Linked DNA regions of Oryzias latipes. The protein of the gene in region 1 interacts with the protein of each later gene in a pairwise test. Links are inferred from orthologs where the notes say so. Each region holds a gene or a part of one and is shown in the gene's direction. Other genes may lie near its edges.

What was found.
Region 2: the proteins of ngly1 (region 1) and rad23a interact in binary tests that used the Homo sapiens proteins (3 or more experiments, as listed by UniProt). The two-hybrid records come from large-scale screens. The link is inferred for Oryzias latipes from reciprocal best matches to the Homo sapiens genes NGLY1 and RAD23A.

What each region holds. Positions count from the first base shown.
Region 1 is NC_019869.2:19,045,486-19,049,788, reverse strand, and holds the start of ngly1 (peptide-N(4)-(N-acetyl-beta-glucosaminyl)asparagine amidase), read left to right. Parts: upstream 1-1,355; 5' UTR 1,356-1,465; coding exon 1,466-1,566; intron 1,567-3,117; coding exon 3,118-3,232; intron 3,233-3,347; coding exon 3,348-3,605; intron 3,606-4,303. Other genes in the region: oxsm (3-oxoacyl-[acyl-carrier-protein] synthase, mitochondrial), read right to left, coding at 76-1,052. UniProt on the Homo sapiens protein: Specifically deglycosylates the denatured form of N-linked glycoproteins in the cytoplasm and assists their proteasome-mediated degradation. Cleaves the beta-aspartyl-glucosamine (GlcNAc) of the glycan and the amide side chain of Asn, converting Asn to Asp.
Region 2 is NC_019866.2:22,942,347-22,946,741, reverse strand, and holds the start of rad23a (UV excision repair protein RAD23 homolog A), read left to right. Parts: upstream 1-1,422; 5' UTR 1,423-1,607; coding exon 1,608-1,673; intron 1,674-2,331; coding exon 2,332-2,493; intron 2,494-2,597; coding exon 2,598-2,794; intron 2,795-4,395. UniProt on the Homo sapiens protein: Multiubiquitin chain receptor involved in modulation of proteasomal degradation. Binds to 'Lys-48'-linked polyubiquitin chains in a length-dependent manner and with a lower affinity to 'Lys-63'-linked polyubiquitin chains.

The sequences.
Region 1 (4,303 bases):
TAGAGCTCTGGCTTCAAACTACAACTTTACGTGAACACTGAGAAAACATAGAAGCTCTTTCTCCAGCAGGGTTACCTGAAAGCTCCATCTCCATCTGCAGAAGGGGCTGTTATGTGACTGGCATCCCCTGAGAGCCCGTAGCCCAGGATCTCTGCATAGATCCTTGCTCCTCTCTTCACAGCGTGCTCCAGCTCCTCCAGCAGGAGCACCGCTGCTCCCTCCCCCATCACAAAGCCCTCTCTTTCTGGGTGGAAGGGCCTTGAGGCCAGTGTTGGTCTGTCGTTCCACTTGGTGGCAAGTGCTCGGGCTCTAGCAAAGCCTGCTATGGAGAGAGGCCCGACACAGGATTCCGTCCCCCCCGTAACCATAGCAACTGCATCTCCATGAGCAATGAATCTGGCTGCATCACCAACGGCATGAGCTCCTGTGGTGCACGCTGTGGATACAGCATGGTTGGGTCCCTTCAGTTTGTGCTTGATGCTGATGTGCCCAGCTGCCATGTTAACAAGGATGCGGGGAACAAAGAAGGGGCTCACTTTCTTGTAGCCCCTCTCCTGGAAGGCAGCAGAGGTGCTGGCAATATCGTCCAGTGACACCATACCCATGCCAACTGCAACCCCCGTGCTGAGCTGCTCCTCCAGGCTTTCAGGGAACCAGGCTGCGTCCTCCAGAGCCAGCTGTGCTGCTCCCAGGGCCATCACAGTAGCTGCAGACATGTTGCTGATTTCCCCCCGAGAGACGAACCGGTCCCCCTTAAACTGGCCCTCATCAGCGCCTCTAGGCACCAGAGCTGCCACCCTGCAGGGGAGGCCCCGGTAGTCCTCAGACTCCAGAGCCACAATCCCGCTCCGACCTTGGATCAGACACTCCCAGGGCAGATTGCAGCCGGTGCCTAGAGGGCAAACCAGCCCAAGGCCCGTAACCACAACCCTCCGCCTGTGCGACTGTCCGCTCCCGCTGCTGAGCCTAACTCCCTTTGGACAAATGTGGGCATTTCGAAGGAAAGCCCTGCCCGGCTGAACTATCGCCCGGACTGTAGTCCAGATGGACATCGTCTTCCCCTGATGGAGCTCTAACTTTCGTTACACAGTATGAACTTAAGCTCTGGACAGCCCAAGTAACTGTCCATGCAGGGTTTGTTTTGAGTAATCTTTGGATCTGCCCTAGAAAATGCCAGCTTTTTGTGCCTGAACCTTCTCTTAGATTTAGCCTAAAACAAACTAAAATAGCAACCACACAACAAATATTGTTTATTGGGAGTTAAAAATAATAATGCAACAGCTGCAGATTGTGCGCGCGCATTTTTCCCCTTTAACATTAGACTCCGGCGTAATAAAGCCACCTAAATGTAGGACCCCAAACACAGAGTTAGCTAAGTAGCTGTCAGCGTTAGCTCCCCAATCCGTTGATATATCCGCTTTTCTGGAGGGACGGGCGTTACAGCTGGCTTGGTTTTGTCGGAAACATGAGTCTATCTCCGGCGGTTACAACTCTGTGCGAGAACTCCACGGATGTTTTCCTGGACGCCGCCAAACTGCTGCTCACCTACGCCGATAACATTCTGAGGTGAAGCTGGATGGATGATCATCATGGAGATTCGTTAGATTTCTGAAATTTCTGATGATCGTGACTGTTTTATCTTTAACTTACTGTCATTTATAACCTTAATTAAACCTGCACAGATGTAAAAGAAGCCATACAGAATAGCGGCATTTAGAGTCACTCATGCGCCCTAATATATCAAATTTGCAAAAATGCTATTTATTTTCCTGGCTGCACCAGAGTCTCACTCTTCCTCTATCCTTCTGAGTGGATTCCGACACTATCTCTCCTATTTGATCGCCTTTCCTTCATTTGTGTTATTTACAGCCTTTTCAGTGGTTGCTTTCATAGTTTTAGCAATTTAGGTCACACAATTCAAAGTCCTTCAAATTTTAGCCTCAGTGATTTACCGTGTTCCCCAAGGCTCTGATCTGGGTCCATTCCTCCTCATTTCCCCTCTCTCCTTAAAAACATGTTTCCAAAATTGAGCTTCATTTGACTTTTTTTTAAAATGTATTTTCTTTGGGAGAAGACACCCAGCTCTATCTCTAACAAATCTATGTGCATTGTTTCACCTGCCTTTTTTTCCTGATGTTGTTTTACCTCACATCGCTCTAATTCAAAACCTCTTTGTTTGTGTAAAGTCTACACTTTTCAATGAAAACATCTTCTCCATCACTATTACGTCGTCTTTGGGTGCCCTTTCTTCACAGGATAAGAGTTTTGGTTTCATGCAGGATTACATCATTCCAGTTCCATATTGATAAAATTGCTCAAAATTTATCAGTACAGTTCCACCTTTGTAATAATTGTCGTTGCCCCTCTCACAAGCCACATCCTACCTCCATCCCTGTCTGCAAACTCATCACTTCCTGTCCTCTTTACTTCCTCCTCATTGGTCTACTACCTAAATTCTGTCTATAATAAAACTTCATCTCATCTAATCACTGTCATTCTGAAAGAATTGAAACGATTTCTTATGAAATCATTTCAAAATCTTCCTTTCAAAGGAATATAAAAACCCCTCCCCTCATTGTCTGTTTCCTCCTCTCTGTTGGTCCCTCTTGTTCCTTCCTCAGATCCTCCTCTTGACTTCACTTCGCTGCACCGTTTGCACCACAGGACGTAAAACCTTCGGCTGTGAAACTCATGTCCTACTGATGTCTAAACACTGAACTTCATTTAAAAAAAAAATCAAAATTCTGAACTTTTCTGTCAATAAAAAAAACAAAACTATTTGGCGACACTTTTTTGTCTGTGTGCTCCCAAACCTCTCTCTCCTCTTTTACACTTTTTTTTCATAATCTTTTTTCGTGTACTCGGTTATCATACGGTTTTGAAAGCCACTCCAAACTAATTTGTGTTGTAATTCTTATTAATTCACTTCATGAGCTTTATCAGATGTGTGCAGTGATCCAAAAATTGGTCTGATTTAAGTGAAACTACAGATATACCTACATTTTGGGGCTGTTGCAAAAAGTTCCACCCTTTGAATTCAGATCAGACTGAAATGCTTTCCCCTCAGAAAACTGACATCAGTTTGTTTTTATGGGATGTTTCTATCCACCCCCATAGGTACCCCAACGTGGAGAAGTACAGATCCATCCGGATAGGTAATCCCACTTTCTCCACTAAGCTGCTGCCCATCAAAGGAGCTGTGGAATGTCTCTTTGAGATGGGCTTTGAGGAGGTAATGCTGTTAAATTTAGGTTAGGATGATAAGATAGCTGGGTTTCACTGGTGTCAAGACTCTGGTTGCTTGATAGGACTCGACTGCAAGTAAATGTCTTTTTTTTTTTTTTAAGGCTGAGACACACCTGGTCTTTCCCAAGGCAGCATCGGTGGAGCAGCTGAGGCTCGTGAGAGAGTCCATAGCAGCGGAGCGTGATCAGAGGCTAAAGGGGGAGTGTCCTGTTCCGCCTGCTGCACAGCGTGTTGCCTCAGCACAGCAGAGTCCAACTGCAGCCGCTGCTCCTGCGGCTGCTCCCACTGCGGCTCCTACTCCCCCTGCAGGTGCCCCTAGCCAGCTGGCAGAGTTCTCTGCTCAGCAGCCGTCGTCTCTGGTAAACAGAGCCTTTGTTTTAACTTTAAAATTATACATGAGTCATTTAAAGATATGTATCTGCTTTGCCTAATGGAGGTGACTGCTCATGTTCCAACCTTTTAGAATCAGAATCAGCTTTATTGGCCAAGTACAGTGCACGTACAAGGAATTTGGCTTTGGTGTCTTGTGCTCTCGTGCAAACTACAAAAATATTTAAAACGAGTTTAATGAAGTAAGACAGGAAAGGATAAATCATAAAAAGAAAGTACTATGAGGTAGATATAGGAAGATTTAAACATAACTAAATAAAAAATGCAACTGTGTTCTGGTGTGACACTTTCTGTGGTTTTGTTCAGTGTTCTAGAGTGGTCTGGAGTGGTTTTGGTGCCCTGAGTCCTAAAGCGCCGCCCTGACGGGAAAAGGCCGTCAAAGCTGCATGAGAGGCGTTGTCCCTTAACAGCAGAGGACTAGTTTACATCAGTACCAGGGAAAAGTTTCCTGAAACTTTTGTTAACTACTTAAATGTGCCAAAATCAGCAGAAAAAAACAGTTTTAGGAGCCTATCACGGGCTTCAAGGTGCTAGACAGGCCTAAACTGTCCCCTTTTGGATCCATAAGGTCTGACAGAGCAGTAGGCAGAACGCAGATGCTTTGTGCTTATTTGCTCTTGTCTTTCTTTGACCTGATGGGGGCAGGCTTGAGCTCGCCTGACTCAGT
Region 2 (4,395 bases), on another chromosome or scaffold:
TCCACCTTCCATAAAGAGCAATTTCCCCATAAAATTAAAGTTTATTAGTAGCTCCTCCCACATGAGTAAGGAAGATCCAATTTTTAACAATTTGACACACAAATCATGTTCAAAGTGCTCAATTCTGTCTTTTAAAATCACTTCCTAAACTCTTTTATGCAGCAGATACCCAAAGAATCCCTTTCTCCTAGGTTTTCATTGACACACGTTGACACCAAAGTCCTTTCGTTTGAACCAGTTTGTGTTGGTCGTGTGATAGTGGCATTAAAGTCTGCTGTGCAGAAAAAAGGCCCTCCAGGTGTGAATGCAGATATCCACTGTGCCTGAATCAGGAGGAAATAAACAAAGAGTGAGTTAATATTATACCCAATGATGAATAAAAGAAGTTTACAGCACGATGAAGTTTATGGTTATGTGGCTCCTTCTAATGCAAAGTTTAAGTAAATGCGTGTTTTGGGCGTCTCGCATCACGCATAGCTATAGGTTTTTGTGTTCAAAACTTGCGACCATTGACTGTGTGTGATGAAAGGTTAACCAGGTCAAACTTTGACCAATCAGGGACTCGGATTTGGTAGTGATTTGGCGTTGTAAACGTCGCTTCAGACTCAAAGACCCACCCCAATGAAAGTGGGGTTTTTAAATTGTTCTTGTGGCATTTTTCGGACAATGGAGAACACATATAAAGAAAATTCAGCTTCAAATTGGGGGGGATCCCGAGCACAGCTGTGTCACCGCTCCCCCAGGGGATGGGTCAGAACATGATGTGTATAAAAGTTTTGTGAATCTGGAACAGACAAAAAAAATGCCATCTTAGAAAGCTTGTAGCTGTGACACGGATACTTGTGACCTAGAAAATACACTGGGCGGGGCCACAAACTCACTGCTTTGCTGCATTTTGATGCATCCGCCTGTAGACCAGATCCATGTAGGCTACATCTTTGTTTTACTCGTCCGAGCTGGCGTCTGGCTCAAAGCCGGTCAGCACCAATATTTGTTGCACTGATAATGTTAGGTTGTGTGGGGCTGTAAGCTAGCAGGAGAGCATGTAAACAGAAGGGTGATGGGAAGGGGGGCCTGGGTAGCTCCGCACCAGAAGTGTTTCCTACAAACTTAGAGGTGAATTTTTAATGAACTGCTGCTGCTTTGCAGGAACTACGTCCACGAAATCAACACAGGTTTTTGAATTTTTTTGTCTAAAAACAGCATAATCGTCACTAAAAGACCACCAGGAACGCTTTGAAAATAGATCAAAAGATGATCAAAGTGGGACTTTGAGTCTCACAGGCACTTAACATGATCAGAATGTATTTCTATATAGTTAAAAAGTTATAAGTCTTGTGATTTCTGTGCGCGTGTGTTTGTCTTGCTTGTTTTCTAAAGCTTTTGTGCTGCTGGCCCTCTCGTGGTTTCTCGCGATATCTCACAGCCTCCAAGCAGGAGTGCCCGTAACTTGTCACCAAAGATGGCGATTTGCTGAGTGCTCATGGATACACACATTTCTCGGCTAGTTGTTATCTTACTCAAAACGCGAACCTGAGACACAGACTGACTTTTTTTTCCTTTAGTGCGCCGCTCTTTTTCCAGTTTGAAGCACACCGGACGCCGCCATGCAGATCACTCTGAAAACGCTGCAGCAGCAGACGATTCAGATTGAAATAGACCCCGAACAAACGGTAAGTGGCTAACAGCTAACTGCGTTAGCTTCCAGCACCGGAGTTGTCTTTTAGCTCCGCGTGCACACCCGACAGCTCCATAGAGCAGGTACAGTGAAAGGAACTAACTTTTATCACATCGAATTAATTTCTGAATTGTGTGAACATTTAAGCCACACAAAAAATGCTTAAAATTAAGAACACACCTGTTCCTTTACGCGCTGAAGCTACCTCGCTAAGCTAGGTTTCAAGCTAATGTTGCTAAAATTAACAGAGTCATTGGGCCGCCACCTGAAAGCTGGTTGTCACTAGTTGAAGTTGCTGACAGAGGATTGTTGCGGCCTTTTTGGCTGTGAATATATGAGGTAAAACCACCAACATGTGTGAATCAGAGACGCTCAGTCAGTGCGCTGGTGGTGACGAAGGATGATGCGCGTGCTCTAAATGCTCATCATGACACTGCCAATCACGCCTAGCTCCTGATAGATAGCCCAGCTCTGGAAGCCTAGATGGATTGGGTTAACTTCTACTGTTTAGATGTCTAACAAAAGTAAAATACACGCTGGTGCTCCAGATTTGGCCTTTTTCGCATGGAGGCGGCTGGGGTGTGGCTTTCAGGTGTTGAGGATAGGCTGCCTCCGGGTAGTCCGACCATCATGTCTGCCCTCTTGTGTGTCAGGTCAAGGCCTTGAAGGAGAAGATAGAGGCTGAACGAGGAAAAGACAACTTTCCTGTTTCTGGGCAGAAGCTGATATACGCCGGGAAAATCTTGCAAGACGATACGCCAATCAAAGACTACAAAATCGATGAGAAGAATTTTGTTGTAGTGATGGTATCCAAGGTGAGACTGCATGGTCCAGCTTTTTATCTTTTTTTATGTGTGCAGCGGACTCGCGTCTGGATGCAGTTCCTCTGACGTTTTCATTTGTTTTCTGAACACGTTAGGCTAAGCCTGCAGCCACGACCTCGGCACCAGCCCCGGAAGCCCCCAAGCCCCCCGCACAGGACTCTGGCTCCACATCAACCGCTGCCCCGCCTTCAAATCCTCCTGCTGCACCCACCCCTGCAGCTGTCCCTATTCCTCCTGAGGAGGCCAAACAGGAGCAAAGTGCCGAAGCCACAGAACCACAGCAGCCCGCCAGGTAACAGGCGTACCGCCACGCTCGCCGGTGTCAGCTGGTAGAAAAGGGAGACGAAATGGGGAAAGAAGTCACTTAAATCTGAGCGGGTTTGTACGATGACTTAGCATTTAATTCAGCAGAATGCAGTGAGTTCGGCTGTTGTTTTCTTTATAAACAAAACAAAAACAAACATCATTTTGTTGTTTTGCGGGATTCAGACACTGACGTCTCCATCATAGTTACAATGACTTTGCAAATCATTTACAAGATTTTCATAATATCCTTAACTTTTGTATCACATTTTTTACTTAAATCGACAATTAGATTTAAAGGAAGTGACTATTTCACCGTAATTAGGGCAGGGCTTATGGTTACAGGTAAGGTTAGGGTTCAAATACGTGCAGCAATGTGTATTTGGGCCACATGGTTTTCGTGTGATCCACATGTTTTTCCATCAGTTTTTGTGCTGGTTGCACGTAAACGCCTGCGAATAACATCGACCATATTTAAAACAATTACCGTAATTTCCGAACTATAAGCCGCTACTTTTTTCCTGCGCTTACAGCCGTGCGGCTTATTCAGTGACGAGGCTAATTTATGGTTTTATTTGGCGGCCGCCATGTACGTACTTTCGGACACAGTGAATGGTTAGAATTCTCTATCTAACACCAAGGGCAAGTCATTTGTTTTTCAATACACGTCTAGGCAGCCAAACAGCATGGACCTAACTTCAGGTCTTAGACACTTCAGTCATGGTTCCACAAACGAAACACGCATGCCCAGCCGCATCCCAGAATCCTTTGGTGCCATTAGACCCAACGTGCACGTGATCGCCACTGCAATATGATGAAGCTTTCAAGTTAAAAGCAATCGTTAGAAGCAGCGTGAAAAAATCCACCATCACACTTACTCTGGGAGGCAGGACGTGATTTGTCAGGATGACAATGTTGCCTAATACATGCGGCTTGTACTCCGACGCGGCTTGTGTATGTAGAAAAGTAGTTAAACACGTGAAAATGGGTGGGTGCGGCTTGTAATTGGGTGCGCTTTGTAGTCCGGAATTTACGGTACTTTTCCGGAACTTATTTCAGTGAAATGAACATCTGTCCAATTTTTTAATCTACATAAAAACACTTTTACTGTATAGATTTATTTACTTCGGGGGACAGAAGCGCTTAAAGTTCGTTTAGTTTCTAAACGTAAAATCCAACATTATTCAGTAAATTTAGAGGGATGTCCTGATCGGGGTTATTTTTTCCAGTCCAATGCGAAACGACTCAGTCGGCCTGATTTCTGCTCACGTGATCAGATCTGGACATCACTAATAACTTCTCTGCTGTTAAACAGGGGCCTCCAAAGTTTTCAGAGTAGGAGGCTTCTAGGAGGGAAAGCAGGAGGCTACCACCCGGGCGGTGAAAGCAGGAGGGGTTGATTGAGTGGAGGCTAAACTAGCTTTTATTTTGAAAAATATTTTTATTTTGAAAAACTACCAGATCTTTTCGGTTGCATGTCTGTCACTTGGGTGCTAAACCCCATATTTTATGACAGAAGCCTGCATGTCATTGAGCCAGACTTTGGACATGCCAGATGGATGAGATGGCATAAACTTTAAAAACAAAGAT